Nothobranchius furzeri: one gene and its partner. The protein of the gene in region 2 interacts with the protein of the main gene of each other region in a biochemical or structural test. Links are inferred from orthologs where the notes say so. Each region holds a gene or a part of one and is shown on either strand. Other genes may lie near its edges.

Evidence for each region.
Region 1: the proteins of sh3rf1 (region 2) and akt2 form a complex in vitro, tested with the Homo sapiens proteins (2 studies listed by BioGRID and IntAct, with this or other methods). The link is inferred for Nothobranchius furzeri from reciprocal best matches to the Homo sapiens genes SH3RF1 and AKT2.

What each region holds. Positions count from the first base shown.
Region 1 is NC_091753.1:24,398,313-24,409,435, reverse strand, and holds part of akt2 (RAC-beta serine/threonine-protein kinase), read left to right. Parts: intron 1-1,784; 5' UTR 1,785-1,897; coding exon 1,898-1,943; intron 1,944-2,188; coding exon 2,189-2,320; intron 2,321-2,396; coding exon 2,397-2,508; intron 2,509-5,307; coding exon 5,308-5,461; intron 5,462-5,975; coding exon 5,976-6,107; intron 6,108-6,222; coding exon 6,223-6,288; intron 6,289-6,372; coding exon 6,373-6,441; intron 6,442-6,739; coding exon 6,740-6,862; intron 6,863-6,993; coding exon 6,994-7,122; intron 7,123-11,123. UniProt on the Homo sapiens protein: Serine/threonine kinase closely related to AKT1 and AKT3. All 3 enzymes, AKT1, AKT2 and AKT3, are collectively known as AKT kinase.
Region 2 is NC_091748.1:39,159,801-39,170,009, reverse strand, and holds the end of sh3rf1 (E3 ubiquitin-protein ligase SH3RF1), read right to left. Parts: intron 6,966-10,209; coding exon 6,682-6,965; intron 6,605-6,681; coding exon 6,300-6,604; intron 5,830-6,299; coding exon 5,483-5,829; intron 5,404-5,482; coding exon 5,235-5,403; 3' UTR 5,013-5,234; downstream 1-5,012. Other genes in the region: cbr4 (carbonyl reductase family member 4), read right to left, coding at 31-175. UniProt on the Homo sapiens protein: Has E3 ubiquitin-protein ligase activity. In the absence of an external substrate, it can catalyze self-ubiquitination. Stimulates ubiquitination of potassium channel KCNJ1, enhancing it's dynamin-dependent and clathrin-independent endocytosis.

The DNA of each region.
Region 1 (11,123 bases), on a different chromosome or scaffold from region 2:
TACCCTTCTACACCAAACATGTCCTGGACAAAGTGAAATAAGCTCTGGATCATGTGTGATCCACATGAAGCACACATACTGCCGCTGCACTCTGCTGCAGCGTCTCTTTCTTCCTCATTGGACGAGTGAATATCTTCATCAGAGGACGAATATCCCTCATCAGAGTCAGGCTTTAATAGTCAAAGAGCTTTGTCAACAGTGAACAGACCTGTCAGCATTGTGAGTTTGTCCTCTAATAAATAATAAAAACCCGCCCTCCGTGAGCTCTGCTCGTCTCCTCTCGTCAGTTGGGAGCCTCCAGATGATGATAATCTTCTAGTGTAAAGTCATAACACTAATGAGGGGTTATATTTCAAGCTGTGGCTCATTAAACACAGTATTGCTACTTTGATGCTTAAAGGGTTAATTTTACGGTCCTTCTAATTCTGGTCCCCCACGATCGGAAGGTCATGGGTTCGATTCCAGCTCCTGCCTGGGGTATTCTGCTGTTGTGTCCTTGGGCAAGACACTTCACCCAACTTGTCTGTGTTGGTGTTGGTCTGAGGGGCAGACGGCACCAAATGGCAGCCTGGCCTCTGTCAGACCGCCCCAGGGCGGCTGTGGCTACAAAAGTAGCTTACCATCACTGGCAGTGTGTGAATGTGAGTGTGTGTGAAAGCATCTTTGAGTGTCCTAAAAAAGTGCTATATAAGTTCAATGCATTATTATTATTATTATTCTATGTTTTTAATTATTGACTGAATTTCTTTCGGTGTTTTGGTTTTCTCTCTTGGTGTCCTCATTTTTTTGGTTTTCGTTTTCGGACAAGAATTTTCACTTGGTGCATCCCTACCATACACGTAGCCGGGTTTTAGTAAAACCAAATATCGACAAAGGACTTGGGTCCACGCCACCTCGTTCCCAATTAAAATATCCAGTGCATTGTGGAGGACATTCAAAGGCATGCCAAGCCTGTAGGTGGCAGTAGTTCCTTTAGTACAGGAATGTCTAAACTTTTCATGACAAGGGCCCAAAAAAGTCATGTTTTAAGTCAATGGGGGCCTCAAGAATGTGATTTTCTTAATTTAAAAAGTGCAAACATTATTTTATATAATTTTTTAAATTTGTACTCTTCAAAAAAAAATCCAAAATAGGCTTATAAGTAAACATCTGAACATAAACATGTTAGAAAGTGGCGATCTATATCAACATCCTATTGAAGAGACAAAAATCACCATTTTAGAAATTTAAGTGGGGGCCGTACAAAATTGCTCAGTGGGCCAGAAATGGCCCCCGGGCCACATTTTGGACATGCCTGCTTTAGCAGTTCTTTGGCGGCTCTGGTATTCCTTAGACGTAGTGGTGAGCAAAACCGTTGTTAACGTCATCCTTCACCTGTGGTTTTCTACTTAGAGCATTAATGAAACAAGAAAGCGTTAACACAGGTCAGACATATGACATCAGAGCGTTTATGACGCAGGAAGTGACGTTATAAAACCTAAAACCCTGTTGTTGTTTTTTCACGTCCACAAGCAAATGCTGACGATGGAGAAATCACAGCTGTCCACTTTGGTCGGCGGTTTTAAAAAGAATAGTTACGTTTGCGTGGGTGATGGGTCTAACCGTAAAACATTTCTTCTTTTAGAGGGAACTCGTCTACGCCTGTACAGGGTCATTGAGCTCTATACATTTGCTATTACTGTTTTTCTGAATTTCACAACATTCAAGACTCTGTGACTTATTTTACCCAAATTAATACTCCCAGTATTTAACCATGATTATGTTCTTTTCTTCTCCTCCTCCAGGTATTACACACTAAAGGTTTTTATTTGAGTCAGAGACTTGAAGCACAGTGTCCACAGTTTCCATCGGCTTGTCTGCAGCCCCCCTACCTACCCCAACAGTTTTCTGCCCCAGCATGAATGAAGTCAGTGTTGTTAGAGAGGGATGGCTCCAAAAGAGAGGTGAGGGTCTCTTTGTATTCACCAACCCTCATGTGAATTTGTAGCTAAGATCTACGTGGAATAAAATATTGAATACGTTAATATCTCTGCTACAGATGTGAATTATTCAAACTGATGAAGAACATCGGCTTAATTCAGTCACTCTCAGTTGGTCATCTGTTTATAATCTTGTGGTACAGAGAGGCTTAGTCATCCACAGGGAAGTGGTCAAACATTAAAACAGCCTCTCATCTGTCCACATCTAGGTGAATACATCAAAACATGGCGGCCGCGTTACTTCATCCTGAAGAGTGACGGATCGTTTATCGGATATAAAGACAAGCCTGAAGTGTCCATTGATCCCAGCCAACCACCGCTCAACAACTTCTCTGTTGCAGGCACGTTTTTCACAGAGTTGCATGCTAGGCTTTCTCCATTGGGTCTGTTGCTCATGGTTGAGTCTGTGGTTTATAGAATGTCAGTTGATGAAGACGGAACGCCCCAGGCCCAACACGTTTGTCATCCGATGTCTCCAGTGGACCTCGGTTATTGAGCGAACCTTTCACGTAGACAGCAAGGAGGAGAGGTAAAATCTGATTTTCTATGGGTTAGAATTATCGGAATTTTAAATGACTTATTTTTAGTGTCACAAACATGATCCATGGGAAATATGTGTAGTAAGGAATGATTTTGTGTAGCTGATCAATAGAAACCAGGAATTCAGTGTTGATGTCAGCTTTTTTAAACCTGACAAACAAATAATGCAACTGTGGCCAGAGTTATACTTGGCCTTATATATATATAAAAACACACCTAACTTCTGGCCTGTTTAGGGTGAGAATCAAATATTTTTGCTACATTCAGTCATTAGTTTGAAACAGACACCAGCTAATTAAACTTGATCTTCTACTTGATTGACCACATGAAGCAAACATGGAAACGCCACTGAAAAAGCAGAAAGAGCTACTACAGCAGCTCATAGACAAACAGGAAGTGTGTGTGTGAACAGTTGCACCAAGCAGTCTGCTAGGGTCATAACTGATTAACTCATTCACCGCCAATGACGACTAAAGTCGTCATTTGCATTTTTTTTTTTTTACTGTTTGAGCATCGGAACGAGCCCCCGCGCTGAGAGAACAATTATCTCAGCCCTGAAGCCGATCTTCATCTGCATACGTCACACATCACGTGATCAGGAAGCAGAACATCCATGTGTTAGGAGATCGTTTTGGGCCGTTCCTATAAAAAAGGTGAGGCGCGAACCGGAAAAGCGTCTGCCGATCACAATTCGACAACAGATTATGAAAAAACGGATAACGCTCGAAACACGCGGATTCTTCCTGATGTAAGAGGTGAGTCTCCTCATTGCTTTGGTTGTTTTGGCGTCTACATCATCCTAGCGCTCTTAAGAAAACAGTAAAAGTGGTGAGAAATGCTGGCAGTGAATGAGTTAAAATGAAGGTGTATTTATTGGTGTCACACACTGCTGATGTGTTTTGCATCGGCACCGTCATCTTTACTTGCACTTGGTTCATAAAACACCACAGGGGGACATTCATGAGCTTGGTCCTCAAAAGGCAGATCTGTGCAGTGAAATATTTAAATGGCAGATTTGCAAAACATAATGTGATGAAATAATTGTAATAATCTTTTTTTTTTTTTGTCACTTTTATATCTATTTTGGTTTAGAAACCAGAATTGACAGTCAAATGAAGTGCACAACCATACTCAATACCAACTGGAATTTATTCCATCCTAAGCCACAGCTGATTACAGGAATGTTCCAGTTCCAGAGAAGTTTAAACTTATCTGGCCTTTTATCTCTAAAAATAAAACAAATAAATGCAAACGACTGAAAGAAAAGTGTGTTTTTACTGGTAGTTATGTTGTTTCTTTCTAAAGTTGACCCCTCAGGTGACCTTTAAGTCCAGCCTTTAGCATGATTTGAATCTGAGTGTGTAGAGTCACATGTTTCTCATTTGTACTGTCAACTCTGCAGCAGGAACACTGTGCTGCCCGTGGATGTGCCTGACTGTTTATCACTAAAGCATGCACAGACATGGCCAGTTGTTGGTTTTACTTAAAAAAAAAACTGTAAACGTCAAATTAATCAATCCACCATACTAACCTATCTACCTTTACTCATGAGTGCAGCTAGCTGGTTAAAAAGAACAAGTTTGGTACATTTCATCTAAAAAAGAACGGTGTGTGAGTCATACTGCTGTCTTTTGTGTCTTCTAGTGTAAATCTTAAATTTAAATAATGCTTTAAACAATAAACACAAGTAAAAAGAAGTAGTTACAACCAAACCATTTGGAATAATAACATCTAAACAAAATAACCACAAATAGGAGAACTTTGGACATAATTTCTTATGTTTAAATTCTCTTTCCGGAGTATTTCTCATGTCCGATGGCACCATCTAGTGGCGGACAAGCATATCACAAAAAGTCTGTTGCTCTTAAGGTGGCAACTTCACATTTGTGTTTATAAATGTGCTTCTGTAGCCGACAAACAGAGCTAAAACACGCTGTTTTACGAGTATTATTCTCATGTCATGTTGTGTTCTCATATATTTATATTTTAGAGACTTACTTGTCCGTGAAAAATTCATCAACTCTGTGTCAGCCGAGGTATTCCTTAAATTTGAAGCGTCTAAGCAGTAGTCTAACGCTAAGCAGTAGTCTAACGCTATTGGTTAGTTCTGGTCAGCGCTCAGTTTCCTATTGCACGGAGCTCTGCAGGGCAGGGGGCATGCTTAGCAAAAAACAAAAAGACGTATTGCTTACATTATATCACATTACATGATAATATAATCACTTTTACGGATTTCTGAAAAACCATACATAATTTCTGAAAGTAGAAAACTCCGGAAAGCAGCTTTAACCGTGTTCGTGTGAAACTATTCCCTGAGTTTTAAACCGCACGTGAAAATGTGCACAACATAATTACAATGAAAACTGTGGATAAAACATTTAGTTTGTAAAAGTTATAATGACCATTGTTAAATGTGTAGGATTTGTTTGTAAAATAGAAACAGCCATCACGTTGGGTTATACCTGATTTTTCACCTCTAACCCAAGAAATTGTCATTAGGTGTATTTTTTTTTTACGTGGGCTCTGCCAACCACCAAATCCCAGAAGCCCACAGATTATCCTCTGCACTCTAAATAAAGACTGCAAGGCCACTATTTCACGTAAACATGTTGCTTTGGAAATGCCGTGTGACAAATTTTCAAAATAAAATAATATAGAATGTCAATTTACAGAGGAATATTTGTTTTACTTCTGTAGAATTTTTATTTTATTCTTTGACATTTTATTTGTATTCAGTCAGACATGCATTAGATTTGAAAAGGTCACCGTGTGCTTCTCTCTGGGTCAGGGAGGAATGGATGAGATCGATCCAGGCAGTAACCAACAGCCTGAAGAGTCAGCAGCAGGACGAGGAACCCATGGAGATTAAATTTGGCTCACCGAGTGACAGCAGCGGCGCAGAGGAGATGGAGATTGCTGTGTCCAAATCCCGTTCAAAAGTAGTCAGTATTTGCACAAGCAACGCCTGGCAGCTGTGTGTGTGTGTGTGTGTGTGTGTGTGTGTGTGTGTGTGTGTGTGTGTGTGTGTGTGTGTGTGTGTTCTGCTAAGCTCATCTTTATTGAGCAAGTTGGTCAAACTTTAAGCCTCTTTCTCAAAGCTTTTTTGTGAAACCCTTTTTAAATTAAAAAGGTCACTGTTTGATTATTTTTTTAATTTTTGTCTTGCTGAAATGTTTTGAGAGATAATTTTCATTGACATTTTCTGTTTTCTTTTATAAAATATGTTTTTTTGTCCTAGTCTTTACTTTAATGCTTACCTGCAGATTTTGACCCAAAACACAGAAAACCTGGCAAAAGCAGCAAACATTGTTTTTAATTTGTATGTTTTAAAGAAAGTTTTTTGTGTTTTTCTTTGCTTTTTCACATAAATCACATAAATCATGGCATGTCTGAGAAAACAGGAATGAGTTCCAACAAATTAGAGATGAATTAATGTTTGTCTCAACTTTCCTGAAGACCATGATCGACTTTGACTACCTGAAGCTTTTGGGAAAAGGGACGTTTGGAAAAGTGATCTTGGTGAAGGAGAAAGCCACTGGGATGTACTATGCCATGAAAATCCTCCGCAAAGAAGTCATCATCGCTAAAGTCAGTGCTGACTAAAATATTTAAGTGGGACTGTCTTGTAGTTTTGCTACATGCTTAGTGTTTGTGCTCTTTATGCATGGACTGTGTGTGTGCGTGTGTGTGTGTGTTCCTATAGGACGAGGTGGCACACACAGTTACAGAGAGCCGAGTTCTCCAAAATACGAGGCACCCCTTTCTAACGGTGAGTCACAAGTACTTCTGTTGTTTTTTGCCTGAAGACTTCTCTTCATCCTCATAATGAAGGTGCACATGATTTCTTCTGCAGACTCTAAAGTATGCATTTCAAACAAACGACCGGCTCTGCTTTGTGATGGAGTACGCAAACGGAGGAGAGGTAGCTATTTCTTTTTGCTTTAGACAGGCGGTAGGTTTAAACAAGCAGAAGGAAACTTCCCCGCATTGAATCAGTTGTAGACTTGATATTTTGCCTTTAGAATGTTTGTAATCCAGACCGGATTACCGTTTCATGGGAATAACGTCAGAATTTAAATCCACTTTCAATCACTTGTTTTTCAAACCTTCACCCGCCTGTAAAGCTCAAACAAAAATATCTTCAGTCTTTAATACGTACAGAGTCAAGTTCATGATGCTGCAAATAAAAATATTCAGTATGTTTTTTAATCCTCTTGCAGCTCTTCTTTCACTTATCCCGGGACAGAGTATTCACTGAAGATAGGGCACGGTTCTACGGTGCAGAAATAGTCTCAGCACTGGAGTATCTACACTCACGCAATGTCGTTTACAGAGACTTGAAGGTAATGTGTTCTCTTCGTTCAACCCAGGGGACTCGTTCACCTGTCAGGAAGAAGAATGGGAAGTTTCTTAGCAAGTTTTTTGAAGTGATCTGTATTTCTGATCTGATTCGCGTCTACATTTCCATGTGCAGCTTGAGAACCTCATGTTAGACAAAGATGGCCACATAAAGATAACGGATTTTGGACTTTGTAAAGAGGGGATCACAGACGGCGCCACCATGAAAACCTTCTGTGGAACCCCGGAGTACCTGGCACCAGAGGTAAATCTGTCTGGACTGTTGGTGTCTGACAAAATGAATAATAATCGATCCTACAATTCTCCGATTACTGGTGAGTCCGCTCTACCTCCTGAGCTTCTGCTACCCCTAGATGAAAGACGCCGTTATTTATGAACAAGATGGTCAAGTCGTCTTTTCACTGTGATGCTCATTCATAAAAGTCCGATCTTTGTGGCGTTACTTGAAAAACCTGCAGACAGCACTATAGTCGGTATTTGCCCAGCCATTTGAAATCTACAGCTTAGTGACACATGACTGTCTCTAGTGATGGGAGTGAATACAACGCACCGAACAATGTATGTTTCACATTGTTACTGCATGGGCTGTTTGCTATTCTAATAGTTGACACCTATGTGCAAAAGCCAGTAGAGATGTGTAGGGGTGTGTATGGGCAGGAATCTGGCAAAACGATGCAATTTATGACGGATCTTAATTGGAAAACTCGAGTCAGATGTTTCCAAGATGCATGCAGGGTTATCTTGAGATCCACTAGAGAGAAGGTGGTGAAAACTGCTGCCACCTAGCAGTCAGAGTTTGAATTGCTTCACACCTAAGAAATACAGTATATGTTTGCTTGTAAATCCTCAATAAAAATCGATACGGTGCTTTTAGATATCCATTCAGTATCATCACATGAAAAATCGCCATATCTCAGCGCATCAGTATTTCCTTACATCCCTACAAACTTATTTACAACAAATGTAAGAAACATCCATTAAAGGGGCATTATGGAAGTTTGACAGCCAAAACATGTCTAGAAATAATAAATTTCTTCTTCATACATTCTCCTGCAATGCCCTGGTCCTGTAGAATGAGCCCTGGCCTTTTTACTGTGATTGCCTGTTTTTCTGTAAAATCACAGAAAAAGAGAGATGCTCGGGTCGAGCAGGCTGCTTCATGCGCGTTCACGCTCAGGCATAGCCCGTAGCATTTGCTATCAGTAGCTTTAGCAGGTGAGAGTGAGGTAGTGCCAACTCAGCGACTTTGTCGCTGTTCCTAACGCCTAGTGATGAACCTAGCTACATTTCTGAGGACCCTTAGCTACTTTCTGTAGAACTTTCTTCAAGATATTTCCTGCAAATTAGCAACAAAATAGCCATTTTCACTCCGAACCGTTCCTTGAACGTTGTTTCAGCTGTCATCAAAGATATAAAAGTTACAGATGCAAAACATATAACTGGCCCTTTAGCACACCTAGTAAGACGTCAGGCTGTCGTGCAGGAGATCCGGGTTCGACTCTGGACATGAACATAATTTATTTTTTACATTAATGGTATATTTTTTTACAGTAAGATGCCCAAATTTTTATTTGAGACTCGCTGAACGGCATTGAATTCACAGATAAAAAAATATGTGGATTCAACTTTCATTTTGGAACAATTTTTCAAGCAAGGGAAGGGAATGATCTGAGCATGCAGGAGGACTGACCCATCATAAACCTTTGTCGGCTGTGCTGAAGAGAAAGGTACAGAACCAAATTATTTAATTAATTAGCTGCGTGTTCTCCTGTCCTCTGTCCTCCGGGACACACACACACACACGGGACTGTCTCAGCTGTTATTTTCGTTAAGGAGTGTGCACGTACAGCATGCGCACCTCATGCACGAGCCTACTATTGAAGCTGCCGTTACGCTTTTGGCCTGAGGGGGCAATCGCGAGCATAAAAATTCAAAACTCCATAAAGTCCCTTTAATTCAGACACAGTTTCAGGTAAAAATGATAGTTAAATCACAGATTTGACAGATTTGACAATTTCAACATTTTTGAATCTAAGAAAGAAAACAATCTTTTATATAGCGCCTCTCTAGATAAAACTCATGAGGCGCTTCACTAGAAAAAAAAACACAAAAAGATTGATTAAAAGATATGGTTTAAATAAAAAAAATAATTAAAGAGAAAATGAACAGGAAAGAGGGAAATCAGTGGATCCCAGGAAAGGTGGAATAAGAACAGAATAAGGGTGGTGATGAAGGTCATGCCAAAGCGTGAACAGGTGAGTTTTCTGCTGCTTCTTAAAGGAGACCACTGAGTCCACTGATCAGGGGGAGAGAGGTCCAGAGTCTGGGGGCCACAGCAGCAGATGATCTGTCACCTTTGGTCTTTAGCCTGGTGCTTCACAACCAGTAGGCTTTGGTCACTGGACCTCAGGGACCTGCTGGGGGTTTAGGGACTAAGAAGATCACCAATGTATGGTGGTGCTTGTCCATGTAAGGCCCTATAGACCAGAACCAGGATCTAATGACTCGCACAGTGAAACGAGGACTATTAGTTTGGTGGAGAATGACTATTAAGTATTTAAAAGGATAGTTAATTTTGAGGAATGTGATGAAGCCAATAATAATGTCATAAAGAGCAGTATGTATGAAAGTGTTTGATGCCCGTCTAAAGGGTGTTTGATTCGCTGGAATGAGTGAGAAGCTGCTGCTACGATGGACACAAACGGCTAAATGTGGAGACCGATAAAGAAAGGACCAAAGCAGTTCTAAACATCTGTAACGATGCTGAGCTACAAATGTTCTAGTAGCTAAAAGTCATACCAACACATCTGGAGCTAACTGATCACATACGGTCTTGTAAGAGAGATCAACCCCTTTTGTACACGATCCAACCAAAAGAGCTACACCTCCATCTAGGGCTGCTCAATTAATCGAATTTTAATCATGATTACGATCTGAGTTTTGAACGATTATACAAACAAAACAAGCCGATTATTTGCTCATCCCACTTGCGCTGCCCTGAGTTGCAAATGAAGCGCTCCTCCCACTGTGTTGCCAACTTGGCGACTTTGACGCTATTTCCAACAGCTTTTCAGACCCCCTTCTTGACTTTTTAAATCTTAAAAGTACCTAGCGAACACCTCAAAAACATCTCTGGGAACCCCTTAGCTACTTTCTGGATAACTGTCGTCGACATTTCCTGCAGATTAGCTAAAGACTCCGCCTGCGCTCCGGACCGTTCTTCAGGACATTAGGAAAGGGAATGATGTAGTGATGTGTCGGTCGCTAAAGAAACAGCCCTCAGAGCCAGCTCCCTGTGGATTAACCAGAGTGAGTGACACACACACCGCACCTGCGGACTCCTGAGCCGCTAAAAACGGCTAATGTGCGCATGCGGCGTGCTAAACACACGTGCAGCTTGCCCCTGATTGCTTTGAGACCAGGTTGAGGGGTGTGCAGCTGTGGTTGGGACAATTATTACATTAACTGATGGACTTGTAAATAAATAGTTTATTAATAAGGTAGAAATAAGTTCCCCACGCTGATAAATAACTAATCTCTCTGAGGACACGGTGCTAGTGCCTGCTCCTACAGCATCTTGACACGACTAAATAAATGTTATGCAACATTTTATGAACATCAATTTATTTGCATTTATTTGTTATAAATGCCACTGTATAATTCTTGCTGTCAGTATTTGCAACATATTGGTATTTGGGTCTGTACTGGTTAGACTTAAATGAGTTAAACCAAGGTCTATAGCCCTTGGGTCATAGACTATGAGCTATAAGTATATTGGTCTTTTTATACTGGGAATCAGGAGTTATTTTAGTGATCATCTTGTTCTCATTTTTTTTGTCCTGATTGTGCCCTGAGCAATTTTATGACTGAATAAAAACAAATAAAATCAACATAAATTGAAAAATCGTCCTAAATAATCGAGATCTCAATTTCAGTCACAATAATCGTGATTATTATTTTTGCCATAATCGAGCAGCCCTACCTCCATCGTGTCTCAACGTAAGGTTATCAGTTTAAAACGGACATGGAAGCGAACTAGCAATGTACCATGCCTTTTTAAATACCAAAACTAAAGTCATCAATGACTGCAGGTGGCAACAATCGGTGTGTTTTCTGAGCACACTTCTAATTTTAGTCTTTAATAAACGTGCTGTTTATTTCCTGCAAAAATATATCCCACAAATAATTTCTTACAGCTTAAACAGATGTTACCTTAATCAGCTTCGTTAAAAAGGTGGTAAAAAT
Region 2 (10,209 bases):
AAACTATTTCCTAACGTTTGCAGTATTTACCTCCAGGTAGGGCCGCCACAGCAGCGCGGGCAGCATCCTCCCTCCTGGAGACTACGACCAGCCTGCAGCCCCTCTCCGCCAGCAGGCAGGACACGGCCCTCCCGATGCCCCTGGAGCCCCCACACACCACCGCCAGCCGGGACATGATCCTCACGGAGGACCCAGCAGCTCCGAATCGAGTCCGGTCCGGCTTGCAACTTTACCTTATGACGATTAAAAAACATTTATATTTCCTTGATCCCCCCAAAATCTCACACTTTTATGTCAAGCGGCTGCTTACCTTGTTTTATGTAGTCACGCTTCGAATGTTTTTAAATGAGTCTAATTTAAAAATTGCGAATTTCCAAGGAAAGTTACGGACGCCGCCATGTTTGTTTTCTGTGTTGTTGTATTGTTTGCGTTTATCCGGCAGATGGCGCTGTGAACACATGGTTTAACGTGTGAAACGCAACAAAACGCACCAGTTTCTAGCGGAAGTAACGTTTGTGCAGCTGGGGAATAAAAATTTTACAATGTTCCTAAGTAGAGTCGCCACGGTAGCTTCTCAGCTGCAGCTGTGACCGTGCCTGTCTACACAGGGCTGGCTGAACACGACTCTAGCAGAGGCTGAGGACCCATGTTTGTTTTTATTTGGACGGATCCTCCAGAGACCTTTAGTTTGGTGTGATTTTGACTTTGCTTAGCTATTTTGGATTATTAGGACCTCAACAACAAAAAAGATTTTTGAGCAAATAATCAAATTTTTTTACTGTTAGTGTTTCTAAATTAAATAAGTAGAAATAAAATAAGTTGTTATTAAAACCAAGTTTCCCTGAATACTAATAATAACAGGACTAATAAACAGAAATAGAATATATTGTAAGATGCAAGCTGCGTCATCTGAGGGCAGGGGTGCCTCCAGAAAGTTTTAAACAGGGTTCCTATAGGTGGCCCCAAAGAGCTAACACCAACTTTTGGGGTGTTTATTTGTTTTAGAATGTCACATCAACAGAAATACTATAATAATAAACATAACTTCATTTAAGAAGATGAAACAATGTTTAAAATGGATTTCACAGGGATCCACACACGTCATGGTAATCCAGAAAGCTATTTCAGAGGTTAAGTGAATCTCAGAGTTATCTCCATGGCAACAGACTCTGGGAGTTAAACCTCATCAACTAACTAAAGCAAACTCTGCCTCTTTCTGTTGGGTGAGTGCAACTGAATAGGAGTGTTTTTAACAAATCAGTGACTCCAGTTTGTATAAAATGTAATCTGCTCAATAAAACTGCAGTTTCCTCGTGTGTTTGATGCACTTCTTTCAGTGGTTGCCATGGTGAATCAAGGCGCTGATACTTCACTGATGACGGGTTTCCACTCAGGTTGAAGACAGCCAGAAGTGTCAGAACTAATCAGCCGTTCGGAGTCACCTCAGCTTTCCCTCCCCCAGGTGCTTTATGAATCAGCTGTCGTATGTTGGCAATGAAAAACATCACTGGCAGGAAGTTAGGGAATCACTGATATCAGCACATTTCAGCTTTTATTTTAAAGTTTGTTAACAAAAGGCTGAACACAAACGAGTAGATATCAAAGCTTTTCGTCTCTTCACCTGACCCCTCCCCCTACACACATCCTGCTGGTGTCACAGTTTCTCCTTTTCCTTCAGCCATGTTTTTTGTTCCCCTCCTCAAATATGTATTTCCACAGGAATAGCATCGTGTCCACCAGTGCATACAAATAGAGCAATAGTAAAAATAGGAGAGCTCCATTTACACTTGGGCACTTCATCAGACTGAGACACCCTGCCAGGTTGATTTACTGAGGTTAAATAACATTCACAACCTTTGCCAGAGCAGACCTCTGGCCCAGAGCGCTAGGATTCATGTCCATGGTGCTGCAGGAGCAACTCATAAACCCCCAGCTCATTCATACCTGTTTGTTCTGGAGAAAACAAGGTGATTCAGACCGCTTCCTGAACATGTTACTTAGCTCTTTTACACCTAACAGCCCTTGTACCTGCACAGCACAAACAATCAAACTCAGTATAATTTGCTGAATCTAATGTCCTTAGACTTCTGAGTGTCCAAGACAAATGTTTGTGCAAATGTCCTGTAAACAAAAGATCTATTCAAGAAACATTTAACCCCAAGGCTCAGCTGAAGCCCAAATAGCCCTGGCAGCTACATTCTGTAAACTAGCTTCTCCTATTTTTAAATACACACCAGCCCGGTAAGCTTTAGCTGTCAGACAGCAACAGCCTTGCTGCAAATTTAGCACACGTCCTTAAAGCATGAAAATTCAACACAATTCCAACATATATGCATCCTGTGTTGGCCATGCACAATGATTCTTATTTGTCCTATTCTTGTGTGGGGAGGAGTAATTTCCACGGAGAGCCGTCCTCTGCAGGGAGCTGTGTGCAGCACAATGACCTCTGGGTGCTTGTCAGGTCCAGTCAGCGTTTCCCAGCTGAGCACGCTGGGGAGGCTCACCTCTTCCTGGGGACGATAATGACCACATGCACCATGGCTGCTGCTGAAATCACTGCTGAACGTACACACACGCGCACGCGCACACACACACACACACACACACACAAGTTTACTCATGTCATGCAAACTTTGAGATGCCTAGTCCTGTCAGCAGCTTGAAGCCCCAGCTGGATAGTTCTACCCTGGTAGGAGGAGGCCTGCGTGACATGATGTCACTTAGGAAAAAACAACACAATCTTCAAGAAAACATGGAAAACATTTTACTTTTGGGATAGCTTTTTTTTTTTTTTTTTTTTTTTTTTACAAAATGTCATTCCCTCTAATTCTTCACAATATTTTTGACATAATGTGCCAAATAGTTGGATTTCAGTTTCACTAGTTTTAGACATAAACACACTAACTTTGACAAGGAAAAAAAAATCAAGTCATCCACCTTGGCATAGAAAAGTTAAGCTTCAGCAACCCAACTTAAAGGAATTTTGTTTTATTTGTGTTTAGATCTTACTTTGTTTAGAGAAATAGCCTTTATGTCCTTCAGGACTGCTGAGCTAACGGCTAGTTAGCCGAGTGCAACCGAGATGTGTTAAAACGATTCCATTCTTCTAAACATAGACAGCGGTTAATGTGACATTTTATTAATAACGATTATTTCAGCAATAACATGAAGACATGACACCGTTGGTCCTAGAATGTCACCAACGCTGTCATGTGTAATCAGCCCCGATGGAAGGGTTTAAAAATACTGCATTACCGCTGTGACATTTGGTAGTTTTACTCAGCTTTGGTCTTGGCAGCACTCAGACTAGCTGTTAGCACATCAATGCTGTAGGATGAAAACTCAAACTTCTCCAAACAGGGCCCTCCAGGACGCCAGCTACGAGGGGAAAGTTGTAATTATTTACAACTTTTACACAAACACTTCAAATTGCAAAAAGAAATCCCTTTAAGTTACTGAATACTCAACAGATGACAAAACAGACTTGTAAATATATCCAAAAATGCCTCGTGTTTCCAAACTGTGCAGCCTAGGCATGACGAAGATCAGTAAGATTAGCGATGCTGAGACAGTGCAAATGTCGGTATAAACTTGTGCATTTGGGTTGAAACACGTCAGTAATCTTAAAGGCTTTGCAAGGAAAGCAAAGAGGAGTTGTGAGGTTGGTGCTTGCCAAGATAACGTCGTAACATCGGATTAAATCTGCTCAGAAAGACAAAGTCAAACAAAAAGGCTCAACAGTGATGTGTACCATAACTCTCCACACGCTCTTTAAAACTCTAAATATTCCAGCAGTCAGGCACACAGTGGTCCCCGTCAACAACCCAAAACAACAGGATCCAGGACCGGCTCGCGTGATTGAACCGAAACGAACATCCCGTGCCGTCCGAATGGGTCACCTGGTACGAACATGGGCGGGTTGGTCAGTACTTACTTCTGATGCGTTTTCATACAGGACTGAATCAGTTTTGATGGGATAAAGGAGACAGGGATTTCTGTGGTTGTTTGTTTCAAAACAACAGAGTAGTCATTCTAAAAAAATAAATAAAGCTATTTCATGTTTTACAAAATCCAAATGTAATCAAAAACATAAAAACAAAAACCTTACAGCAAATCAAGTCAGTACATTTAACCAGAAAACAAATTAAAGGGCTCAAAATGATTGTTTTCATAAAAAATGAGATTCGTGAGAAGACACCGACGTCTGTGGAGCGACGCTGCTTTAGGCAAACGGTCAGCGGTGAGTTTTAGTGTCTCAAGTCACATCAGGAATGAACTCTAGCGTCCAAAAAACAGCTCCCACGGGAGGGAAACCGCGTCGGTCAGTCACAAGCAGCAGGCCTGGGCCTCGGTGGAACGTTAACATAAATATAAAAGATTCTGCTTTGTTTTAATGACACGTGTCGCTCTAGAGGGGCAGAGCTCTGTCTGGGTTCAGATATTACTAAAGAGTTAGGAGAGCAGCTACTCTGGTCAGGAAACAGAGAATTAAAACAAAAGGTACAAATCCAGCAACGTTCGACTGCAGAGTCTGGAGTGTTTTAAGGATAATAAGCTGCGGCAGAGCCATCAATGACCTCCTGGGGGGTGGCTGCGTTGATGACGAGCTAGTTTCTCATTTTTCTACGAAACAAGGCCACCTAACAATGAACGGCACGCAAATACTTAGTCCCGTGCAGCTTAAGGAGGAGCTTTAAGGATTCAGATGTGCAATACAGCAGATTCTTCTGGTCGTCTCGTTTGGAGCGGGGGAAGCATCTTCTCTTCTCACGGTGCAGCACAGATGACTCGTTTTGGTTGTTTGGTTTCATGTTCGGTCTCCTACCTGCTGAAGGTTCAAAATAATGAAAACCCTATCAGCGGCCTAAAGGAGAAAATGAACTAAAGTGTGTTGTCCGTAACCCCCTGCTGCCTAGGGAGAATATAAAATAAGTTAAATGTGTAACGTGCTGATAACAGGTCATACTGGTTGATTTAGGACTCATATTTGTGTCCTTACGTACAATAAAGTGGAGAACAGTACAAGGCACACATTTAACAGCTGAGTTGTTACAAATATATAAATAACCAAGAATAAGAGAAGAGTTCACGTGTAGTGTGCTCTAGCGCCGCCCACTGTGCCTTCAGAGCCCCTTCAGCTTCTCTTGTGTGCTTCTAGCGGTTTCTTTCAGGACTTCAGGTGTCGGTATGATGGCGCCCACATAGCTGGGCTCACCGTGGGGAAGTTTGGTGGGTTAGATGCTGTCTACGAAGCTGCCAGGGAACAGGCCAGTCCTGCCGTTCCTCTGCAGCGTGCCTTTGAACCAGCCGTCCTCCCGCTTCCTGTGAACAAACACGATGTCCCCCTCCTTGAGTTCCAGCTCGGCCTCGCTCTGCGGAGGATACGACACCACCACCCTGTACCTGGGGAGAACAGCCAGAGGCACACTGAGCGACTGGTATAATGTTGCATTAGAGGGAAGGCAGCCTCACATCAGCCTACCTCTCACATATGATGGGACGTGCATCATACTGCTGCGGTAAAAGAGAGGAGCAGGGCTGTCGAGGAGGAGGAGCGATGGGAGCGCATCCATCAAGCGGGCCGCTCTTCCGATGGGTAGACTCGGGGACTGAGGGGGAGGCGGATGGCAAGGCAGAAGCAACAGCAGCAGATTCCAGCTCCAGGCAGCTGACGGAGCTGGAGGGAGGGGAGGTGTCAGGACACACCGCTCCATGCAGCACCTCTCCAGCTCCAGCCTGTTCTCCTTCAAGGGTGGGAGAGGAGGGAGGTGAAGGTCGAGACTTCTTCTTATTGGAGGACAACAGCTTCAGAAGACTCTTCTTTTCTCTCTGCAACAACATCGATTTCATGTTGAAAATTCCAAACAGTTATGGATTAAAGCACATTTTCCTAAAACACGAAGGACGGCTCGCTGCCTAGAACGGCTTCCTTAAAGTCAAAAACAGGTTTGTGCTGGCTCGTTTGACTTGGGAATAAAACACACAGATTGCTGTTCTACCAACATGATTCTGAGTCTCTCTGTTCCAACAATTATGAACTCTGTACTGGGAACCATTTAAGCCAGAATCTCAGCGGTGTGTGTCTGCAGGAGACACACACACACACGTGTGTTCCAGATGTGTGATGTCTGCAGACTGTTTTAATCTACAAATTAAAGCAGCAGGACTGTGACGTAGAGATATTTTGGAAACTCTTGTGAACGTCAGTTGCAGCCCAGTGAGACTGCAGAATATAAGAAAATCTGTATTATTGTAAAAATGATCAACAGTAGCTTGTAGAGTTTCTACAACCATCCCACCTTTCCATCCTTGTCCATTCTGCAGACAAAAGCTGCACTGCTGGATGAGTGACTGATGGCAGCACTGCTCCCAGAGCCCACAGGAACAGGTCTCAAGGCGTCGACCTCTAGAGAAGCAGCATTCACATTAGGAGGAGTCAGGGAGGCAGCAGCGCAGCCCAGAGCCGCTCCGGCCCGGGAGCAGCCTTGAGCCGAGTTAGAGGAGGGCTGCGGACAAACGGAGAGCTGTGGGACGAAAGTCACGGGTGTAGCAGACTGGATGGGTGTCACTGCTGCTGTGGGTCTGTCCTGACTGTGGCAAGCGGCTGCAAAGATGAAATAAAATAAAATGACACATTTAAACTATAAATCACTCCGCTTATGCAACATCTGTCTAACGTACCAGTCCGGACGGCGCTGCGGGCCTGGTTTACTGTCATCTGTGAGTTGACATGGAGAGAGACTTTAGGCTGTTGGCCCGTAGCGGTCTGAGCTGTTGCTACCACAGCTGCAGGTTGGGAGCACGCAGGTACAGCGGCGGAGCACACGGTGAGGGGTTTGTTGGAATCAGGACCAGGAACAATGACTCCCAGGGGAGCAGAGGAAGGGCTGACGATGGTCACTCCTCTGCCAGCCTGAGTGCACAGACTCATGGGGACTTTGGGCTGGGTGTTCCCAGACGCTGTCCTGTGGAGAGGATGAGGAACCAGGAGCTATCAACGTTATTATTGGAAGAGGTGAATGTTACCTCATCATAGTCTACGGTTCAGAAATCTACTCACTGCAAAAAAACATGTCTGCGTCTTTAACACGCCTGCGTCTTTAACACGCCTGCGTCTTTAACACGCCTGCGTCTTTAACACGTCTGCGTCTTTAACACGCCTGCGTCTATAACACGCCTGCGTCTATAACACGCCTGCGTCTATAACACGCCTGCGTCTTTAACACGCCTGCGTCTTTAACACGTCTGCGTCTTTAACACGTCTGCGTCTTTAACACGTCTGCGTCTATAACACGCCTGCGTCTATAACACGCCTGCGTCTTTAACACGCCTGCGTCTTTAACACGTCTGCGTCTTTAACACGCCTGCGTCTTTAACACGCCTGCGTCTTTAACACGCCTGCGTCTTTAACACGCCTGCGTCTTTAACACGCCTGCGTCTTTAACACGTCTGCGTCTTTAACACGTCTGCGTCTTTAACACGCCTGCGTCTTTAACACGCCTGCGTCTTTAACACGTCTGCGTCTTTAACACGTCTGCGTCTTTAACACGTCTGCGTCTTTAACACGCCTGCGTCTTTAACACGCCTGCGTCTTTAACACGCCTGCGTCTTTAACACGCCTGCGTCTTTAACACGCCTGCGTCTTTAACACGCCTGCGTCTTTAACACGCCTGCGTCTTTAACACGCCTGCGTCTTTAACACGTCTGCGTCTTTAACACGCCTGCGTCTTTAACACGCCTGCGTCTTTAACACGCCTGCGTCTTTAACACGTCTGCGTCTTTAACACGTCTGCGTCTTTAACACGCCTGCGTCTTTAACACGCCTGCGTCTTTAGCACGCCTGCGTCTTTAGCACGCCTGCGTCTTTAGCACGCCTGCGTCTTTAGCACGCCTGCGTCTTTAACACGTCTGCGTCTTTAACACGCCTGCGTCTTTAACACGTCTGCGTCTATAACACGCCTGCGTCTTTAACACGCCTGCGTCTTTAACACGCCTGCGTCTTTAACACGCCTGCGTCTTTAACACGTCTGCGTCTTTAACACGTCTGCGTCTATAACACGTCTGCGTCTATAACACGCCTGCGTCTTTAACACGCCTGCGTCTTTAACACGCCTGCGTCTTTAACACGCCTGCGTCTTTAACACGTCTGCGTCTTTAACACGCCTGCGTCTTTAACACGTCTGCGTCTTTAACACGTCTGCGTCTTTAACACGTCTGCGTCTTTAACACGCCTGCGTCTTTAACACGCCTGCGTCTTTAACACGTCTGCGTCTTTAACACGTCTGCGTCTTTAACACGTCTGCGTCTTTAACACGTCTGCGTCTTTAACACGCCTGCGTCTTTAACACGTCTGCGTCTTTAACACGCCTGCGTCTTTAACACGCCTGCGTCTTTAACAAGCCTGCGTCTTTAACACGCCTGCGTCTTTAACACGCCTGCGTCTTTAACACGTCTGCGTCTTTAATACGCCTGCGTCTTTAACACGTCTGCGTCTTTAACACGCCTGCGTCTTTAACACGCCTGCGTCTTTAACACGTCTGCGTCTTTAACACGCCTGCGTCTTTAACACGCCTGCGTCTTTAACACGCCTGCGTCTTTAACACGCCTGCGTCTTTAACACGCCTGCGTCTTTAACACGTCTGCGTCTTTAACACGTCTGCGTCTATAACACGTCTGCGTCTATAACACGCCTGCGTCTTTAACACGCCTGCGTCTTTAACACGCCTGCGTCTTTAACACGCCTGCGTCTTTAACACGTCTGCGTCTTTAACACGCCTGCGTCTTTAACACGCCTGCGTCTTTAACACGCCTGCGTCTTTAACACGTCTGCGTCTTTAACACGTCTGCGTCTTTAACACGTCTGACAAAAACACGTCTGCGTCTTTAACACGTCTGCGTCTTTAACGCGTCTGCGTCTTTAATACGTCTGACAAAAACACGTCTGCGTCTTTAACACGTGTCTGCGTCTTTAACACGTCTGCGTCTTTAACACGCCTGCGTCTTTAACACGTCTGCGTCTTTAACACGTCTGCGTCTTTAACACGCCTGCGTCTTTAACACGCCTGCGTCTTTAACACGCCTGCGTCTTTAACACGTCTGCGTCTTTAACACGTCTGCGTCTTTAACACGTCTGACAAAAACACGTCTGCGTCTTTAACACGTCTGCGTCTTTAACGCGTCTGCGTCTTTAACACGTCTGCGTCTTTAACACGCCTGCGTCTTTAACACGCCTGCGTCTTTAACACGCCTGCGTCTTTAACACGTCTGCGTCTTTAACACGTCTGCGTCTTTAACACGTCTGCGTCTTTAACACGTCTGACAAAAACACGCCTGCGTCTTTAACACGTCTGCGTTTTTAACACGTCTGCGTCTTTAACACGTCTGCGTCTTTAACACGCCTGCGTCTTTAACACGTCTGCGTCTTTAACACGTCTGCGTCTTTAACACGTCTGCGTCTTTAACACGTCTGCGTCTTTAACACGTCTGCGTCTTTAACACGTCTGCGTCTTTAACACGTCTGACAAAAACACGTCTGCGTCTTTAACACGTCTGCGTCTTTAACACGTCTGCGTCTTTAACATGTCGGCGTCTTTAACATGTCTGCGTCTTTAACATGTCTGTGTCTTTAACATGTCTGCATCTTTAACACGTCTGCGTCTTTAACACATCTGCGTCTTTAACACGTCTGCGTCTTTAACACGTCTGACAAAAACACGTCTGCGTCTTTAACACGTCTGCGTCTTTAACACGTCTGCGTCTTTAACACGTCTGCGTCTTTAACACATCTGCGTCTTTAACACGTCTGCGTCTTTAACACGCCTGCGTCTTTAACACGCCTGCGTCTTTAACACGTCTGCGTCTTTAACACGTCTGCGTCTTTAACACGTCTGCGTCTTTAACACGTCTGTGTCTTTAACACGTCTGCGTCTTTAACACGCCTGCGTCTTTAACACGCCTGCGTCTTTAACACGCCTGCGTCTTTAACACGTCTGCGTCTTTAACACGTCTGCGTCTTTAACACGTCTGACAAAAACACGTCTGCGTCTTTAACACGTCTGCGTCTTTAACGCGTCTGCGTCTTTAATACGTCTGACAAAAACACGTCTGCGTCTTTAACACGTGTCTGCGTCTTTAACACGTCTGCGTCTTTAACACGCCTGCGTCTTTAACACGTCTGCGTCTTTAACACGCCTGCGTCTTTAACACGTC